5 linked regions of the Neurospora crassa OR74A genome follow. Each later gene encodes a partner of the first gene's protein in a complex. Links are inferred from orthologs where the notes say so. Each region holds a gene or a part of one and is shown in the gene's direction. Other genes may lie near its edges. The genes, in order: NCU07885, NCU03479, NCU08353, NCU06993 and NCU03114.

Region 1 (3,789 bases):
CGATGCCGCCGGCTATAAAGGCGCTGTGAGGGAGGGAGGGATGTTAGTCTGGGCTTGGGACCGGGAGGGGGGGGTTTGGGTTGGGTTGGGTTGCGCGCGCGCACTGGGCGCATTGTGAGGAGGGGAAAGGGAGAGCTTACCCTGCTGTTGTTGACATAGTGACGTTAGGGTATCTGTTTTGGGAGAATGTATGGGGAAGAAGGGTGAGGGAGGGGAAAATATCAGGGAGAACTCAAGTCGAGTCCCCAGAGTCTTTGGGTTGATTGCGACGGAGTTGGCGCGCAAAGTCAAAGAAAGGCGCAATGCCGAGTCTTGCCGGTGTTCGGAGAGAGAGAGGGGGGAACACGGGAACTAATTCGGGAGTAGGCCGGGGAAGGCGGGAGTGGATGTCACCGTATCACGGAGAGTAACGACGGCAATGAGGGGATGATCTGGGGAAAGATCAGATCGGTGTATGTACAGGTGTACAACTGAACGAAGTCACAACGAACGACGACGACTGCTTCTTTCTCCAGGAACAGGAAGGAAAGAGAAGACCACCGAGAGCTGTCCGGGAAATTTATTGGAGCTTCAAGGTGGCCTCGCCGGTCAGTCGCCGGGCAGACAAGGGGGTCGAAGTGATCGACTGGGACCAACTCCCGCTTTGGGTCAGGCACGGAAGTTGGTGTCAAGATCCTCCTCCGATGCCGTGGATGGGGGTGGTGCCCAATGGCGACGAGGCGAAGGAGTTGTAAGTGCTGCGGTTTCGGCGCGCGGACAACAGATTAATGTGGAGTTTCTGCGGTATGACAAGGGGGCGTGGCGGGTCGGGCGGCCCAGACGTGGACCCTGAATCAGAACCGGAAATGTCTGGGCCGGGGAACGCTGTCGTTGCTGCGAGGGAGGGTTAGGGCCTAGGCGCGATGGACGGCAACAAGTGTCCGAATCGGAGCTTGATGACAATTTCGAAAAAGACGAAGGTACCGAAAGCTTGGAAGACAGTCATACTGGGACCTCAATTGAGCATCCTACCGTAGTGTGTAACGATTGCCATTTTAGCTTCGTGAACATACACTAGCACCGTTGTCAATTGACTGCTCGGTTTGCGGCCAAATCACCAACGTATCCCAGCGTTGATGGAGTTTGTCCAGCTGTCACTGACATCGATACCTACTTACCCAACTGGTGTCGTTGTCCATGCAGTGACCATGGATCGAAACAAGGGTTAGGGTCTTGGGCCACTGCCAAGCCATTGTATGTACCTTGACGTCGCATTACTGAAGCTCTGTCTCTCCGCCCGGCAGAAACACCAACGCGGTTGACGGATGCTACTAAGTTTTGAACCAAACATCAAATAACTACCATCAATCCGATACTATACAATTTGACCCAATATATTTGCCCCGCCATCTTCTCTGGTTCTAGCCGGTTTCAATACGATCAATCGACCGCAATGTCATCGACACCGATGGACATCGACGAACCCGGCGCGGGAACACCCTCCCTGAACGTTACTCGGTTACTTGGGCCTAATGGGCCCAGTACCTCCAAGATCAGTGAGGTGATCAAGAATTTTAGGCCGACAAAGTTCTTCCAGAGAGACGACGTGAAGGAGGGTAGGCCCCAGCCATACGTTCTATCGATCGACTTTGACGACCCTGGCGAGCTTTGCATGACGTCTGAAAGCGACGAGACCATCCAGATATATAACGTTAGGGAAGGTCGGCATGACAAGAGCTTGCTGAGCAAAAAGTACGGCGTCAAGCATGCGAAGTTTACACATTCCAGCTCGGGCATCATCTATGCGAGCACGAAGCAAAACGGTATGTCACTGGACGCCCTTTCTCCCTTCAATGACTGCTCTTCGCTGACCTGGATCGCCACAGACGCAATCCGCTATCTGGCAACCCACGACAATACGTTTATCCGATATTTCGAAGGCCACGAGGCCTCCGTTACCAACATTGCTCTCCATCCCGGCTCCGATAACTTTCTTTCATGCAGTCTTGACACCACAGTCAGGCTCTGGGACCTCAACAGCAGGAACTGGGTTGCCAAATTCCATCTCACCAATCCCACTTTAGCGGCCTGGGACCCTGCTGGTCTCGTTTTTGCCATCGCCCTACCAGCCAGCGCCAGCATTCTCCTTTACGATTACCGCAACTACGTGAAACCGTTCAAGATCATCGACGTTTTGAAAGAGAAGGGGCCAGCTGATGCGGATGCCGTCTTCAGAGGCTGGACGAAACTCGAGTTCTCCAACGACGGGAAGCATATTCTTCTAGGAACACGGACCGGAGGACACTTCCTCTTTGACGCCATTGACGGGAACCTGAAGGCGTACTTGCGAAAGCCCCAAGGCGGCACCAGACGGCCAGCCCCTGGCGAGGCTGATGGTGGAAGCGGTGCGCTAGAGAGCAGTGGAGACTGTTGCTTTACGCCAGATGGACGATATGTCGTGTCGGGCGCGGCCAAGGACCTGTTGGTTTGGGACACATTGCAAACTCCCAATAACAAGGTTCTGGAACCGAATTTCCTTCCCCAGGAAGGAAAGAAGGAACCAGTCCTTGTGCAGTACAACCCAAGATTCAACATGATTGCCACTGCGGATAAGGAGCTTATGTTTTGGCTGCCGGTCTCCGATTTATAAACGGAGTCTATCGGAAACTGTTGGACCTCACCTCCATGGTCAACCCCACGGAATATGTGGGACCGGGCTTTGCCGGTTCAGCGCAAACGTCCGCTTGAGAAATATGAATTGGCGACGTTTATCTGGGCCGAAGTCGATGATCAAGAGTTCTAAAATAACTTTTCATTATTTCTGGACACCGATCGCTTCGTGGTTGTGGGGGCGTTGTCCCCATTGTGGCGCCGGGATACTTGGAGAGTTCCCCAAAAGCCGCACGCACGAGGAAGGGGGTTGTGGCTCAAACTGCACAGGACCCATGCCGCGATGTACGAAGGTCTTGGATGGTATCCTGTTGCTACATCAGGGCAGAGCAGAAGAGCGTCGTGGTAAGAGAACATGAGAGACGCCGGGAACAAAAGAAGATTTTGATGCACTGTACATGAGATACCCATTTTGCATTATTCGCCGGCGTATGGGAGTAGTTAGCATGCTTCAAAGGGTTCAGGTCGCGAGGCAAGTGGTCTGGAAGGCTGATTTAACCAGGCTCGTAGGAGGAGATGGAAAGGAATGGTCAAGATGAACAGCATGTAATGGTTGATCAAGTTGATTTTCACTGAGGGGATGATAGGCATTAGCAAATAGAGGAAGCTCAATATTGTTTACTGTCCATAAAGAATCTGACCATCAGGTAGTCTTGATGAAGGTTGAGTTCAATACCACCCTGAATCCCATATGTCAGGCCTTGGACGACGGGAGCTTAAAGTAAACACATCCCCTGTTGCCCCCTGTCATTAGAGGTATGCCCCGCATTTGAGCTGGATGGGACCGCGGTGAACCCCACCAATGCAACACCCGTTTCAGCGTGCAAGCAGAGAGCTCACCGAAACCGTGGCACCAAAACTTCCCGGGGAAGCGACAAGGTGAACCCACATCATCCTTACCTCCAACATATCACGTCGCCTTGACGCCTTCGCATTTATCCCAAGTCACCAACCGCCGCTGCGCGCCACATTCCCAAACCGCCAGCCGACACCAATTATCACAAAATAACCATTCGGGTACCGAATATCCTAATCAGTGCACGAAGAGTACAAACGAAGCGATCACTACTTCGACGGAACAATCCAGTCGCACGGCACGCGACCACTGTCCCATCACACGTCGTCGTCTAGAGCACAATT
Region 2 (4,223 bases), on another chromosome or scaffold:
GGCCGACTGAGGCGTAGTGGCGTAGTTCTGGGGAAGGTAAGGCGAGCCCGGCTGAGAGGCAGGACTTGCGCCGGTCTGGGGACGCTGCTGGTTCGGCGGTATCGAGAACTGCGCTTGGGTGGTGGGCGCCGGAGAGGGTGTGTGCTGCGGACGAGCAAACTGCGGTTGCTGGTGGACTGGCGGGCTAGGGTGTTGGATCTGAGGTTGCTGCAACTGGGCCTGGGGATGCTGGAGTTGTGGATGATGTTGCTGTTGTTGCGGCTGCGGGACATGCTGCTGCTGCTGCTGAGGATGTTGGGGGTGTTGTGGTTGTTGTTGAGCGTGTTGCTGGTGAGTTGGGGCTTGCTGGTGCCCTTGCTGATGGACCTGTTGCTGTACACGTTGCTGCGGCTGCTGTTGCTGTTGTTGTTGCGGCGGCGGCGGTTGGGTCTGCTGTTGGCTATGTTGTTGCAACTGTTGGGGAATTTGGCGAGGCTGGACATGCTGCTGAGGTTGCTGGGCGCGTTGCTGCAGCTGTTGCTGAGCAAGGGCTTGGGCTTGTTGTTGAGCGAGCATCTGGGCACGTTGTTGCTGTTGTTGCTGGAGCTGGAACTGTTGCAACTGCGGCGACATTTGTGGTGGTTGCTGCTGCTGCTGCAACTGAGGTTGTTGTTGTTGTTGTTGTTGTTGTTGTTGCAACTGAGGCTGCTGCTGTTGTAACTGAGGCTGCTGCTGTTGCAACTGAGGCATCTGAGGCTGTTGCGGTGGTTGCGCCATGGTGATGGGGCGCCCTTGGGGTGGACAGATGAAGGTCGTCGTTGATAATAAGCAGCTATTCCTTGTCCTCCAGCTGACGGCGAGGCTGAGCTCCCAACTGATCAAGTGCTCAGGTTCCCGTCACCGTAAACCCAAGTGGAAGCAGGCGAACCTGCGCTGCCCCTCTAGCTACGCCGTGTCTCTCCTTCCATACGCCGGTCGCTCGTATCGATCGGTGTCCGAGTTGGTCGATGTATTTCTCGCTCGTTGGAGTATCGTCGTGGTCGACAATTAATTGTCGTTTGGATCCGCGGGAGTGATGGCGACGGTGGGAGGTTATGAATCGGATTGTTGGGTGAAGCACTGGAGGAGGGGAGGTCGAGGTCGGGTGGTCGGAGAAAGAATGACGAACAATAAAATCGAAAAGAGGGACTCTCGCACACGAAGAACGACGGGACCAGTTGCTGCCCGCCGCTGCAGGTTCAATTGCTTGTTGCTAGCGGCGGCACGAGCTCCACTGAACCTCAACAAGGGTCGCGTCTGGTACGTACAATGAAGTGAGTGAGCCAGTCACGTGTGAGATTGGTGGAAAATAGTGGGGCATTTGGCCGTTGACGGTTGTTGTGCGGCTGGCTTGGGACCGAAGAGGGACTTCCGGCAGGCAAATCAGCCGCCAACTTCAACCTCACTTCATTCAACGAGCACTTGCCATCTTCATCCAAAACGCATTCAACATCCATCAACGAAATCACATCAAGGGCGCCATCCATATTCACGGCGCGTACTAATCCGTGATATTCCGTCTTTCTTCTCACGTCGACTGAGCCACGTCATCTCGCAATTGACGTGCGTAATTCGCGTTTCAAATCGCATCGAAACCGCCACACTTTGCCAATCAAACAATCGCAGTCAGCAGCTTGAAAGTTCCCAAGTATATACAGGGCGACGGTGGGAAAGCAAGGATTTACGCGTGGAGCGAACGAACCAAAAGAATACCTAAGCCATGGCTTCCAAGCGGAAGGCTTCGGCAATGGCGACGGAGCCAGAGGAGCCGGTCGACCCAGCGGATGAACTCATGTTCCTCAACCTCGGCGGAGGCAACGAAGTCGGCCGATCATGTCACATCATCCAGTACAAGGGCAAAACCGTTATGGTGCGCAAAATCAACCAAAATCAATCACTCCTCCCAACGAACATGGGCTGACCTCTCCGTGGGTTGTTGTAGCTTGATGCTGGCCAACATCCAGCATATGATGGCCTAGCTGCCCTTCCATTCTTTGATGACTTCGATCTCAGCACAGTAGATGTCCTCTTGATCAGCCAGTAAGCCCAACCCCCTTCACCCCCTTTTTTTGCCATGGCCTACAATTATATGTATGCCCGTCTATCCGCGAGAGACAGTGCCGCAGTGTTTGGCTTGGGACAAGATGGGTTGATGATCGAGCTGGGCTCTGGATATACGCCATCGCCAGTGACTGACACGTTGCTCTATGGTCTCTGCGGTTCTTGTCCGCTTTGCAGCATTGTACCGTCCATCATATACATGTATTCAGGAAATGAAAATACAAAAGAATTTGTCGCCATTGCCCGCTCTTCTCCTTTTCCCCCTCCCATCTTGTCTGCCACTCGCGCTGCATGTTCTCTGTGAAGCACTGTCCTCGCCCATAGTCGCCTACCTGGTCCAGACCTTAGCCGAGACTGACTGCCCACTCTCTAGTTTTCATATCGACCATGCCGCCTCGTTACCATATGTCTTGGCCAAGACCAACTTCCGAGGCCGTGTCTTCATGACACATGCCACCAAGGCTATCTACAAATGGCTTATCCAGGACAGTGTCCGTGTTGGCAACACATCGTCGAACCCGCAATCGTCGCTCGTCTACACCGAGGAGGACCATCTCAAGACCTTTCCCATGATCGAGGCCATCGACTACAATACTACCCACACCATCTCCTCCATCCGCATCACACCATACCCAGCCGGCCACGTCCTTGGCGCCGCCATGTTTCTGATTGAGATCGCCGGCCTCAAGATCTTCTTCACTGGCGACTATTCCCGTGAAGAAGACAGGCATCTTATCTCTGCCAAAGTCCCCAAGGGTGTCAAGATCGACGTCCTCATCACCGAGTCCACCTACGGTATCGCCTCGCACATTCCCCGACCAGAACGTGAACAGGCCCTCATGAAATCCATCACCGGCATCCTTAACAGAGGCGGCCGCGTCCTCATGCCCGTCTTCGCCCTCGGTCGAGCCCAGGAGCTCCTCCTCATCCTCGACGAGTACTGGGGCAAGCACGCCGAATACCAGAAATACCCCATCTACTACGCCTCCAACCTCGCGCGCAAGTGTATGCTTGTCTACCAGACCTATGTCGGCTCCATGAACGACAACATCAAGCGGCTGTTCCGCGAGCGTCTGGCCGAGTCCGAGTCCTCCGGTGACGGTGCCGGCAAGGGAGGACCATGGGACTTTAGGTTCATCCGCTCCCTCAAGAGCCTTGACCGCTTCGAGGACGTCGGCGGCTGCGTCATGCTTGCCTCCCCTGGTATGCTCCAAAATGGCGTCAGTCGCGAGCTGCTGGAGCGATGGGCGCCGAGCGAGAAGAACGGCGTTATCATCACCGGTTACTCCGTCGAGGGCACCATGGCCAAGCAGCTCCTTCAAGAGCCAGAGCAGATTCAAGCCGTCATGTCTCGCAACATTGCCGGTGCCCGCCGCGGCCCCGGTGGTGACGCCGAGAAGGTCATGATCCCCCGTCGCTGCACCGTCCAGGAGTTCTCCTTTGCTGCGCACGTTGACGGCGTGGAAAACAGGGAGTTCATCGAGGAAGTCGCCGCCCCCGTCGTCATCCTCGTTCACGGCGAGGTGCACAACATGATGCGTCTCAAGTCCAAGCTTCTTTCGCTCAACGCGACCAAGGAACACAAAGTCAAGGTGTTCAGCCCCAGAAACTGCGAGGAGCTTCGCATCCCTTTCAAGACGGACAAAGTCGCCAAGGTGGTGGGCAAGCTTGCGTCCATCCCGCCTTCTTTAAAGGAAGCCAAGACCGGGCATGACGGACCTCTTCCCTCCTCTACCGAACCTCAGCTTATCACTGGTGTTTTGGTGCAAAACGACTTCAAAATGTCCCTGATGGCTCCGGAGGATCTCAGAGAGTATGCTGGCTTGACGACCACCACTATTGCGTGCAAGCAGCGTTTGAAGCTGAGTGCCGCTGGTATTGACCTCATCAAGTGGGGTCTCGAAGGAACCTTTGGTGCCGTCGAAGAACTCCCCGAAGTGAAGCCAAAGCTGGAGATCGTTAAGAGCGAGAACGGCGATACCAAGATGGAAGAAGCTGATGAGGAGTTGCCCCACGGTGACGACGTGGTAGCCGCTTACCTGGTCATGGGATGCGTCACCGTCCGCTACCGTGCCAGCGGCGAGGTAGAACTAGAGTGGGAAGGCAACATGCTCAACGACGGCATTGCTGATGCCGTGATGGCC
Region 3 (3,244 bases), on another chromosome or scaffold:
ACCTTGTTCATGGCCACCTTCTCGATCTTGCCGGCAGCGAAACCGACAATCAGGATGCGGCCATTCCACGCAGTACATTTGGTGCTCAGATCTACCAGGCCGACAGGATCGTAGACAATGTCAACACCCTTGCCTTTAGGGGTCAACTTCTTCACCATCTCGGGCCACTTGGGGTCCGTGTAGTCGACGACATGATCAGCGCCAAAGGACTTGGCGACTTCGAGCTTGTGCTTGGTTCCGGCCGTAGCAATGACAGTTGCTCCAAACGCCTTTGCAACTATGTGTGGGATTAGCAACGAAGTAGTTCATCTTCGAGACGGGTATGTATGCCACTAACCTTGGACTGCGGCAAGACCTACACCACCGGCCGCAGCGTGAACAAGGACGAAGTCGCCCTTCTTGACGCCGGCCCGAACAACAAGGGCTCCATAGCTGGTTGGTGCCGTCACAAAGAGGCCGGCAGCATCCACAAGCGACCAGCCTTCGGGAGCTGGGAGGAGGGCCGTCTCCTTGGCTTTGACTTTGGTAGCGTACGCACCCTGGCTAGCTCCAAACACACGTGAACCGACGGGGAACTTGGGGTCCTTGAGGCCGGAAGGGGTGGCGAGAACCACGCCGGCGAACTCGGCACCTGATACCCAGGGGAATGCTAAGACGCAACGTCAGCATACTGAATGCAATGTAAGCGGGACTCAATAAAGAAGCCGCACGTGGTTGATTCTGGTATTTGCCCTGAATCTGAAGAATGTCGAAAAAGTTGGTTGCCGCAGCATGAACTTCAATCAAGTACTCATCTGAAGTAGGTGTAGGGTCTGGAAGCTCCGTGACCCTGAGCTCTTGCGGGCTCTGAGTTAAGGGCTAATGTTAGAACCACGAAATGGGAAGATGTCCTGGATGATCGAGATAGGACATACCTTAACATACTGTGCCACCTGAATGCCTCTCATCTGGGAAGGATACCTGGAGTAATAGAGTGCTTTGTTACACTGGAAAGAAGCAGACGCAGAAACACCGAGTGAGATACACAAGCAGTGAAAGAATGACAACCTATATGATTAAACAAGGGTACAATATGGTTGAACAAATGCCGAATAGCCATCGCGGGGGTGACCGCTAGCCCAGTGTAAGGGAAGCCGAGGTAGCCCAGACCGGGATAGCTGATCTCTGATTGGTCACTCACCTTGCATCTCTCGGTGAGTCCACGTCTTATCGATTTCCAACAATCGATTTGCGACTTGTTGCACTCTTTCTCTCCAAACTCTCAACCACACCTTGCTTCAATTTTTTGAATGGCGCAACCTGCTGTGCGAACTTCTCCCGACCAAAGCCGAATTTGAAACTGGGCAAACGCAGCAAAGAATACGACTCTTGGTTAAGCGTGCATAAACACAAGCCACGCGCATTCTCTAGGCAAGATTCATTACGACTGGTCGCCCAGCTACATACCTCTCCGAACCGATCGTGAACCGCTCGCGACAAAACAAGCCTACCCACCTTGAAGCCCGAATCGCACCGGCGAACCACCTTTTTCCCCCCCTCACACATCCGCCGAGATGGCGACAACAACACAGACAACAACAAACTCCCTCCCCTCTGGGGCAGGAGGACCGCAACAACTCGTCACTCAGATGCTCAACCACACCGCGCCACACTATACCTTCTCCTTCACGCCCTTCCTCCAGCGCACGTACCAGCACTCTCTCCCCGCCGACCGACCCATCTGCAAAGCCTACGCCTCAGGCAACTGCCCCCTCAAATCCCACTGCCCCGAGCGCCACGTTACCGCGTCGTCCCAAAACACCCATGGCGGCGGTAACACCTTCAGCGGCGGCTTCGGCTCGCTAGTCTGCAAGCATTGGCTGCGCGGCCTCTGCAAAAAGGGCGAATCGTGCGAGTTCCTGCACGAGTACAACCTGCGCAAGATGCCCGAGTGCAATTTCTTCGTCAGGAACGGGTACTGCAGCAACGGGGACGAGTGTCTGTATCTGCACATTGATCCGCTGTCGAGATTGCCGCCGTGCCCGCATTACGAGAGGGGGTTCTGTCCGCTGGGACCGCGATGTGACAAGAAGCATTTCCGGAGGAAGCTGTGTTTGTATTACCTGGCGGGCTTCTGTCCGGATGGGAAGGGCTGCAAGGAGGGCGCGCATCCGAGGTGGACGGCGGATAAGGATATGGAGAAGCCGAGGGCGAAGGGGGAGGGAGATCAGATGCTGCTGCAGCAGCAACAGCAGCAGCAACAACAACAACACATGGGCGATGCTAATGGTATGGGTGGTGGAATGGCGCAGGCGACGGGCGCGAATGAGTATATGGACCGAGAGAGGGAGCGCGATCGGGATAACAGGGAGAGGGAGATGATGATGCAGGGACGCGATAGGGACGGTGGCGGGCATGATCGCCATAAGGATCGCTTTGGAGGCGGAGGAGGAGGAGGAGGAGGAGGCAGAGGCCGAGGAGGATGGAGGGGAAGAGGAAGGGGAGGATTTAGGGGTAAAGGTCATTAAGAGAACATTGGTCCCAAAGCGGCCAGGGGAGGTCAAATGGTACATGAACATAGCGACATATTTAGGCTAGTGCTCGGACGATGAGAAGGCCCAGGAATCCGGTAGTAAAGACCAGGTATGCATCACGGAATAAGGAATAGGTCACGGCGCAAAGGCAAGGTTATATCTAGTGTATTAGCTGTAGGTCAGGTTTACATTCACAGGGTTTGTGAGATTCTTATAAAAATTGCTAGCTTGACAGTTTTGAGGAGCTGTGATCTGTATGTTCTTCCAAAATAGACTGAGAGGGACGAGATCCCAAAACATGAACGCCGCTCCCTACCTAGGACACCCGTAACCAAATGATAATCAACCCACCGTCTGAGATGCTATGGCATATGCCATTCTTGTCGACACTGCCTTCTTTTGTACTCTTCCAAACTATTCCCATGAAGACTTTACTCCATCGGCACCGCAACAAACAACTCATTCGATGTGCGGGCCCCAGTCCCCACCTCCTCCTCATCCCCATTCTCGCTTCCCATAGACCTCACCGAGCCACCCGACCTTGGGCTATTAAACGAGCTATGACTCGACTGCCACGCCGCCAGCTCGTCCACCGTCCGGATACCCATCATCCACGCCACCAGCCCGCGCGGCACCCAGCGTCCGACAAACCCATACACGCTCGCGCCGAGGCCGACGCGCACAGTGCCCTTGGTAATGGACCCGTCAATCACGTCAAAAACAGCATTATG
Region 4 (4,087 bases), on another chromosome or scaffold:
TTGTCGCCCTTTCTCCTCTTGCCGTCTCTCTCGTCCTCTTCACCCTTGCGCTTGTTCCCAACCTGCTGCTTCTTGGGGTCGAAATGGGCGCGCTGGTACTCGTTGCGAGACATCTCCTCGGTGGTGTCATAGAATCCGGGAACAGGCTTCTTTTCGAATGGAATATCGGCATTGTAGTCCATCTGGCCCTGCTTCTTTGTCGTAACCTTGATGTTGATACCGGCTGTCTTCAACTCGCGACGCTTCTGGAGAGCGGCCAGTCGGCGTGACTCCTCCTGCTGTCGCTCACGGGCCTTTCGCTTGGCCTTTTTACCCTGTGTGTTGGCCAGACGCGCGCGAGCCTCGCTCAACATTTCTTTCTCATCTTCATCGAGATCGATGGTGTCGGGACGGGCGGGTTTCGTCTCCGGATCGGGGTCGACCTCGCCAGGACGTAGTTTGCGAACATCGTCGGCGCTGGGCGCGTGAGCTTCGCCTCCATCAGGGCCCGTCAGCCCAAGAGCGGACGCCTCCCTCTGCTCAGCTTCGTCGAGAAGTCTTTGGTATCTTTCCAGGCACTGGTTTGCGGTTCTTCCAACGATGGGGGCAATGGTACGCCATTGGGTCGGCATCAGCTTGGCGAGGTGCAGCAGCTTCTCATCCTCCTCCTTGCTCCATTCGATCTTCTTGATGCTGGGATCCAGCCATTCGTTCCATCTTGCCTTGCACTGCTTGGGCGTCTTGCGGGCCAGCAGCGACGAGACGCGGGCCCACTGGTTCAGGCCGTACTTGCTGACCGACGCCTTGAGGATTTCATCCTCGATGTTGGTCCACACACCTCCCTTGACGACGGGCATCTTGTCGCTCGGCCGTTATGGATACTCGTCGGGCGTTGTAGTGATGCGGGAGTCGTTCCGGTAGGTGGGAGGACACTCGGGGTTGGGGTTGTCTTGGAATTGGAATTGAAAGTGTTGAAATGTTGTTGTGTTGATGGGGAAGAAATCCAGAAATTCAAAGCGCTGGCGTCAAGGCGAACAATGGAATCACCCGCGACGCAACTGCCTTGGCGTCTTTCCCAGTATCAACTGTCAAGCGCTAGCCAACCTCAAGACCTTTTTGCGGCAGGCAACAGGTTCCCGCGCTGTTAGCATTTTTGTGTCCCATGCATGTGGTAACTAACAAGCGAGCCAAGCTCCGGGACCCCTGCCTGCCGTTAACCACTAACAGAAGGATGCCCCGCCCTTTTGTCGCGACACGCTGCTGCTGTTGGTCGAGTGGATGAAGCTTCCATCCACCATTTCTGGTTCACATGTCTTTCTTTCCTCTTACATTTCTCAACTCTTTACAGAAATCCCCAGAAAGAACATCAAATCGCTCCGAAACTGGACTCTTTAACCCAATTGCGCTCTCCAAAAGTACGCGTCTTCTCCGAGTACCAAAGCATTTACCCGTAGGATCACCATCGGGCAATTCTCAGATTATTCTTAGCATCCATAAGCTGTCGTCGATCAGAAGAGCTCCCGTCGGTACCTACTTTGGACTTGGAGTGCTCGCCGTTCGAGTCCAAACACAAGTCGACTTCAGGACAAGGACAGCTTGCGAAAGCAAAACTAATCACTTAGTTAAATATTTGTCAACGTTACTGCTAGCACGACGTCTGCCGAGCTACATATGGCCAGCGACGTAGGCTCTCCCCGAAGGGAGCAAACACCTTCCGGAGCTGCCACGACGATCCCTCAGAAGCGCACGCTCGAAGACGACCACAGTCCAGCAGTTCCATCACCCCTAAACCCAGATAACAAGGCCGCTCCAAGAGTCCAAATACAGGCACCCGAAGACACCCAGCAAGCAGCCGTTCTAAACCGCGAAAAGAGAACAAAGAAGGACTCCTTCAAGAAGAGGGAGGCCAAGGCAGCAGCAGGCGGTTCCGATAGTTCTAGAGCAACTCCAGACCCGAAGCAGCAACACAAAGAGCCCTTGATCAACGAATTGCTCCCCGCGCGCTATAAGCTCGCTCCGCCCAAACTTACTGATTTCGAGCCCGCGCGCGGTCCCGTCTTCACCAGCCATCATGAGGTTCAAGGGCCCGAGGGCGAGACCATCGAATTCTTTGATGCAACCGAACAGTATGTCTTATCTATATTTGCTCCTTCGCCATTCTCCATTCATGCGGAGCATATTCTGATTTGCCTTTTTCCTACAGTGTCTTCAACAAGCGAGCGTTCCATTACACTCACTGTATAGCCGACCCAACGTTTCCTTCCATGTTCTACTATCGCCAGACCGAGACCGAGCCGTACGCTGCCCACATGGCCTTCGAGGACTCTGCCTCCCACGTATACTTTGACCGACAGGGTCGTCATGTCACCACCGACAAGGGCTTCCGTATGTCACGAGCCAACGTGGCCGTGCGAGAGGGCAGGTGGTATTGGGAGTGCAAGGTCACTCGAGGCACCCTGCGCGAGCCAGGTTCCGAAGGTGATACCAAGGCGCATGGGCACGTTCGCGTGGGCTGGGCGCGGCGTGAGGCTTCTCTCGACGCCCCCGTCGGGTTCGATTGCTACAGTTATGGTATTCGAGACGTGGCTGGACAAAAGGTGCACATGTCACGGCCGAAAGACTTCTTCCCGCCTGGCGAGGAGATCAAAGAAGGAGATGTGATCGGGCTGGAGATCCAGCTGCCTTCGGAACATTTACACAGGAAGATTGTAACGGGGCATTATAACCCTGCGGTCGACTTGGCAGACGACGAACCATCGCTCGAGGCACCCAACATCATCCGGGACCGGATCCCCATTCGGTTCAAACAACACATTTACTTTGAGAAGATTGACTACCACACAACCAAGGAGCTGGAAGACTTGTTCAGTCCCGCGCCGGTAGCATCGGCAAGCTCAAACTCGCCGGAACCGCCGAACCCAAATCACCCATTGCCGTCGCTACGGACGCTGCCGAACTCGTACATCAAGATTTACAAAAATGGAAAGGACATGGGCACGCCTTGGACTGACCTCTTCGCCTTCCTACCACCCGCATCAAAACAAAGTACTCAGTCAGGGGCACATGCCGGCAGAGAAGCTCTCGACGACGGAACTGTCGGATACTACCCAGCCGTAAGTGTTTTCCGCGGTGGCGCCGTCGAGGTGAACTTTGGCCCAGACTTCTGGTTCCCACCACCTGGGTCTGGTCTTCCCCAGAAGCAGCAGAACGGGGTAGGCGATGAGGACGACGTGGACATGCTTGACGACGGAAGTGTGCCGAATCAAGAACCCCTGCGGCCGGTGTCGGGTCGCTACGAGGAGCAAATAGTCGAAGATATCGTCTACGACATTATCGATGAAGTTGGCTTCTGGGCCCAGGACGGTGGCAAGGTGATTGACCGTTTCAACCTCACGGCGAAGGACGCCGAGAAGTTGCTGGCGACGGGTGGGGGCGGAGCGCAATTGTTGCCTGGTGGGCGGGACGAAATCAAGGAGCTTGTCCAGGACGATTAGGTATCCCGGGACAGACTCATGTGGGACGGACTTCGATGGCGGTGTTCACGTGCTGTCAAGTAGACGAGACGTACCTGGAGTCAGTCACTCATGGATATGGAGGCGAGAGAGGTTTGCAGTTCCGGTTGGAAATGCTTTCAGTTGGGTTGGGGACAGAAGCGTAACACGGTTCTGTTTCACTATGTCGAGGCTTCGCAAAATTGTTTTTGCTTTGTATTTGTTTTTGCATATCTGATTACAATCTTCAGCGAGTGGTGAGGGCTATGCATCAAGGGCTGGTAGGCTACATATGGTTAGGTGTGCCTCGGATGGAGTTTTGAAAGAAATACCCAAGTGGTAGAAATAGTAGAGAACTGGTTAATTGCCAAAAGGTGTTGCAATCTCTACTACTTGGGGATGAGTGTCAGCCGGTCTTGTGACGGCCGATGGGCATAAACGAGCATCGAGAACGGTATTCGTGAGATTCCTGGACGGATCAACAAACACACATAAGCAGTAAAATGACATCTTAGTCCGACTGGGTGTATCGTCGGATTCTCGCAACCGAAATCAAAAGGTTTCCCATCGATAATATTCTATCATTCCATTCTCGACAGCGTAGCGGAATCCATTCA
Region 5 (3,763 bases), on another chromosome or scaffold:
GGACCACGGACATCGATTTGCAAATGTTTGATGCTTGCAAAGCGGCCACAACTACCAACGGCTTGTTCAACGGTTCGCTTGTCCGTCGTCTGAAGTCTCGGAAATGTAAGGGCTCTGGATTCTGAGTGTTTCGGTTTTAGGCCGAATTCGTTAAGGGATCCCGTGTGAGGGACGCAATGTAGAAAAGATAGTGGTGAAAGTGTGCGAAGGGGCACACTGGGGTAGCAAGGTGGGCAATTGTCAGCTTAAAGAGCTTGTATAGACATGGAGAGGCCTTGTGTGGTCGGCAAGCTGAGATGAGCGATTGCGAGCTGTCAATATAGACAGGGTATGGTGGGAACGGAGGGGGATTCGAAGAAAAGAGGAGAAGAAAAAGAGGCAGAATCTCAGGCAGGAACAGGTAGGTAGATTTGGGGGGGGGGGTGCCGCATCAAGTTACTACCTCTACTTACGACGGGATACCTCTAGTACAACTTGGACAAAGTTAAGCGCGCTGCCGCAGGTTTACTCCAGGTTTAGGCCTGCTCCTCTCATTGGCAAATAGCAACCGCTGGTCACCTGCAATCAATCAGTCGAACCTCTGAGGACGGGACTCGGTCGCCTTGGACCAACATACCTAACCTCTTTGCTTATCCTGTTAGTGTCGACCTAGACGATGGCTGGCAAATTTTTGGGTAACGAATCGGGGTTAGGTATGGGGGGCTCAAAAAGTCCACTTCAGAGGACAGCTCTCGTTGACAAAGGCGGGCAACTTGCAGGACACACTGCAGTTTCTGTGTGTCAACCACGGAGATTAAAACTTGAATTTGATTTTACGCCCAAAATACCTCTACGTTCTAACACATATCGAAACAGGATATACCACGCGGGTAATACTGCCATTTGCAAATGTACTTTCTACGTGTGCCTCTATTGTTGGTTAACATGTTCCAACGAAGAAAAACTTCGCACGAAACTCTCAACTTCCCGTCCCAACAGGGATGTTTATCACTGCATGTTTGTGTCCACCATTGGATGTTCTCGATGCCTTCGATGTGGGTGATTGGCTCCGTGAATGCGTCCCGAACAGCAACGTGGTACCCATGGAATTTCCCAAGGCACTAGCTATGAGTTGCGCATTCCCTGTGTGGGACCTTTTAAGAAAAGTTATTGAAAAGGTAAGTTCCAATGTTCTGTGCACGATATTCTACAGTGCATCGATACGCATGGTGACCGAGGCTCGAGGCCCGTGAGGTTTGGGTCCTGGGAGAAAAAAAAAATACCTGGGGATCGTCTCACTGTGATTCTGCAGTGCATATCCGCGGACCGCTGCAGACTCGAGAGGTGGGGGAAGTTGACGAGAACGGAAAGAAGGGCAACGGGCTGCAAGACGCACGAGCCACCCACCATTTCACTCTGAAACACTGAAACGTTCTAATTTTGGAAAGCGGTCAGATGGGGCACTATGTGCGTATGACCACCACTTGTCCCTCGCAGTCGGTAACCAAACAGATTTGTTCCAAATTCCACATCCCACTTTTCACCGTCCAAAATCTCCGCGCCAGCAGCAACTGGTGAACAGGTTTGGACATCAACGACATTTAACAAGTTATATATGTGTGGTAGCAGGCTACCTCGACTAACTTAATCATCATCTGTCTGCGCTTTGCGCTCAGCTGAAGCTTGAAAGGTAATTCCTGCGCTCTTTTCCGCTCTCCCTTTATCAACCGTCTCTTTCCTTTATGATGATCTTTTTATTGGAGCTGTCTGTAGCCTGCTATGTCTGGCGTTTGATGACAAACTTTTACATACGCTTTTTTTATCTGATGTGTACCGAGGACAACCTACACTTTTGCACTTGCCATGTCTGTATCGCAGAAGGGAACGCATTGATAACTAACATTGGCATCTTGCGCTTTCTAGGTCTTTCCAGTCAAGCATGCCACATCTGCCACAGTAACAAGTTACCTGCAACTGCCGGCTATGTCTGCTGTAGATACCCCAACTGGTGCCGCGAGCTCATCGAAGCCGGACCAGAATGAGCAGAATGGTCAAAACGGTGGGCGTGAAGACTCTGGCGGCTTCAAGCTAAAGTTTTGCACCGTCTGCGCCAGTAACCAGAATCGGTGAGCAATTTTACGCATCGCATCGTCACGCAACTGGATGACCCCGTCTAACCCTCACCAGCTCCATGGAAGGTCACTTGCGACTCTCTCTTGCAAATTATCCCGTGATTTCGTTTGGTACAGGCTCTCTTGTCCGTCTCCCCGGGCCGTCCATTACACAGCCCAATGTCTACAAGTTCAACGAAACATCATACGATAGTATATATCGGGAGTTGGAAGCCAAAGACCCTCGCTTATATCGCGCAAATGGACTGCTAAACATGCTTGGGAGAAACCGCCAAGTCAAGTGGGGCCCTGAGCGATGGCAGGACTGGCAGATTGGAATGCCTAGAACCAAGCACAAGGATGACAAGGGAGCTGATGGCATGGAGGGCGGCGTAGCTGATGTTGTCATCACCTGTGAGGAACGCTGTTGGGATGCTGTGATTGAAGATCTTCTCAACCGTGGCTCGCCACTTAACAGGCCTGTTCACGTCATCAACATCGATATCAAGGATAACCATGAAGAGGCATCCGTGGGAGGGCGAGCCATTGTCGATTTGGCAGACTCACTCAACAAGATTGCTGCCGAGGAGCGGGAGAAGGTTGGCGCTTCTGCCTTTGACTCGGGAAGCGTAGGCGCCAGATCAGGATTCGATGAGCGCGTACCGGACGTCCTGGCCGAGTGGCAGGAGAGATGGCCGAATCTTCCTGCGACATGGACTTTGGCTTGGTTCTAAGCATTGAATTGGCGTATTGTTTGAGCTCGTGCATCGTAAGGCGTTGGATGTTCTTTTTATTGCCTGGCGGGCGTAATCGCGGTTACGGACAGGGTGGGGGGTACATCTTTTTGGGTTCATGATTGATGACCAAACAACACAGACGAACAAGACGTTTTGGCCGTCACAACATAATGCTGATTTGGACTCGTAATCTCTATCAACAAGCCGTTGTTATCCGGGATTTATGAATTCTGCTGCTGCCATGATTGGCTTCAACTTGCTATTTTGTGAGGTCGCACCCCTCCTGGTTTTCTCAGAATATGTCGACCTCCGTGATTTGGCAGGCCATTTCCTCTTCCACCAGCCAGACCGCCAATTAAGCATTTTGTTTGTTACGCATATGCTTACTTCTATCACAAACATAATAATATCGCATGCATACATGCTCGGAGATGGGAGCTCATCGGCCCACCTGACGAGTACCCTGCATGGTATCCCAAAAAGCATTTTAAGATGACGAGCCGCACGGTTCATTATACGCAACATTGGATGCAAAGAAAACATAGCAGAATTTTGGAGATCTTCCTTGCTTATTGGGATCTGGGGTACTCAACGGTTGCCAGCATCTAGAAAATATCGAAACATGCACAACCGGGCAACCGGCCGTGCCCCCGCAGTGAGCAGGCCTACTTGTGACAATGCAACTAAACGCGCGAAGGTCAAAAATGAAATACATGGGGCTGTGGTGGCCATTGGACACACACTTGGAAGACGAAGACCATTAAGGTTACTGCTAATGCATGTTGTCACTACCTATCATGTTGGGGTGTTGGGCGGGAGTGCCCGAGGTCGAGGTGGCATTTGATGTGATGCGGGTATGCCTACATACCCATGTGGATAAATCTCAATATCTATATCGTCGGTCTCAAGTAAGAATTGCATTGTATTTCGGCAGAC

The links.
Region 2: NCU07885 (region 1) and NCU03479 share a complex: the UniProt entries of both Saccharomyces cerevisiae proteins name them as parts of the cleavage and polyadenylation factor (CPF) complex. The link is inferred for Neurospora crassa OR74A from reciprocal best matches to the Saccharomyces cerevisiae genes SWD2 and YSH1.
Region 3: NCU07885 (region 1) and NCU08353 share a complex: the UniProt entries of both Saccharomyces cerevisiae proteins name them as parts of the cleavage and polyadenylation factor (CPF) complex. The link is inferred for Neurospora crassa OR74A from reciprocal best matches to the Saccharomyces cerevisiae genes SWD2 and YTH1.
Region 4: NCU07885 (region 1) and NCU06993 share a complex: the UniProt entries of both Saccharomyces cerevisiae proteins name them as parts of the set1C/COMPASS complex. The link is inferred for Neurospora crassa OR74A from reciprocal best matches to the Saccharomyces cerevisiae genes SWD2 and BRE2.
Region 5: NCU07885 (region 1) and NCU03114 share a complex: the UniProt entries of both Saccharomyces cerevisiae proteins name them as parts of the APT complex. The link is inferred for Neurospora crassa OR74A from reciprocal best matches to the Saccharomyces cerevisiae genes SWD2 and SSU72.

What each region holds. Positions count from the first base shown.
Region 1 is NC_026503.1:1,232,536-1,236,324, forward strand, and holds NCU07885 (WD repeat containing protein 82), read left to right. Parts: upstream 1-1,305; 5' UTR 1,306-1,432; coding exon 1,433-1,802; intron 1,803-1,865; coding exon 1,866-2,629; 3' UTR 2,630-3,275; downstream 3,276-3,789. Other genes in the region: NCU07884 (mitochondrial oxaloacetate transporter), read right to left, coding at 1-23, 141-157. UniProt on the Saccharomyces cerevisiae protein: The COMPASS (Set1C) complex specifically mono-, di- and trimethylates histone H3 to form H3K4me1/2/3, which subsequently plays a role in telomere length maintenance and transcription elongation regulation. Involved in mediating RNA polymerase II termination.
Region 2 is NC_026502.1:551,088-555,310, forward strand, and holds the start of NCU03479 (endoribonuclease ysh-1), read left to right. Parts: upstream 1-1,412; 5' UTR 1,413-1,738; coding exon 1,739-1,888; intron 1,889-1,960; coding exon 1,961-2,058; intron 2,059-2,452; coding exon 2,453-4,223. Other genes in the region: NCU03480 (hypothetical protein), read right to left, coding at 1-756. UniProt on the Saccharomyces cerevisiae protein: Component of the cleavage and polyadenylation factor (CPF) complex, which plays a key role in polyadenylation-dependent pre-mRNA 3'-end formation and cooperates with cleavage factors including the CFIA complex and NAB4/CFIB. Has endonuclease activity.
Region 3 is NC_026501.1:5,654,108-5,657,351, reverse strand, and holds NCU08353 (mRNA 3'-end-processing protein yth-1), read left to right. Parts: upstream 1-1,233; 5' UTR 1,234-1,553; coding exon 1,554-2,507; 3' UTR 2,508-2,744; downstream 2,745-3,244. Other genes in the region: NCU11325 (alcohol dehydrogenase), read right to left, coding at 1-277, 338-649, 711-846, 915-947; NCU08354 (hypothetical protein), read right to left, coding at 2,945-3,244. UniProt on the Saccharomyces cerevisiae protein: RNA-binding component of the cleavage and polyadenylation factor (CPF) complex, which plays a key role in polyadenylation-dependent pre-mRNA 3'-end formation and cooperates with cleavage factors including the CFIA complex and NAB4/CFIB.
Region 4 is NC_026504.1:4,813,758-4,817,844, reverse strand, and holds NCU06993 (Ash2-trithorax family protein), read left to right. Parts: upstream 1-1,279; 5' UTR 1,280-1,650; coding exon 1,651-2,105; intron 2,106-2,182; coding exon 2,183-3,473; 3' UTR 3,474-4,036; downstream 4,037-4,087. Other genes in the region: NCU06994 (pre-mRNA-splicing factor cef-1), read right to left, coding at 1-836. UniProt on the Saccharomyces cerevisiae protein: Component of the Set1C/COMPASS complex that specifically mono-, di- and trimethylates histone H3 to form H3K4me1/2/3, which subsequently plays a role in telomere length maintenance and transcription elongation regulation.
Region 5 is NC_026501.1:4,604,368-4,608,130, forward strand, and holds NCU03114 (SSU72), read left to right. Parts: upstream 1-1,504; 5' UTR 1,505-1,669; intron 1,670-1,902; 5' UTR 1,903-1,962; coding exon 1,963-2,105; intron 2,106-2,166; coding exon 2,167-2,824; 3' UTR 2,825-3,255; downstream 3,256-3,763. UniProt on the Saccharomyces cerevisiae protein: Component of the cleavage and polyadenylation factor (CPF) complex, which plays a key role in polyadenylation-dependent pre-mRNA 3'-end formation and cooperates with cleavage factors including the CFIA complex and NAB4/CFIB.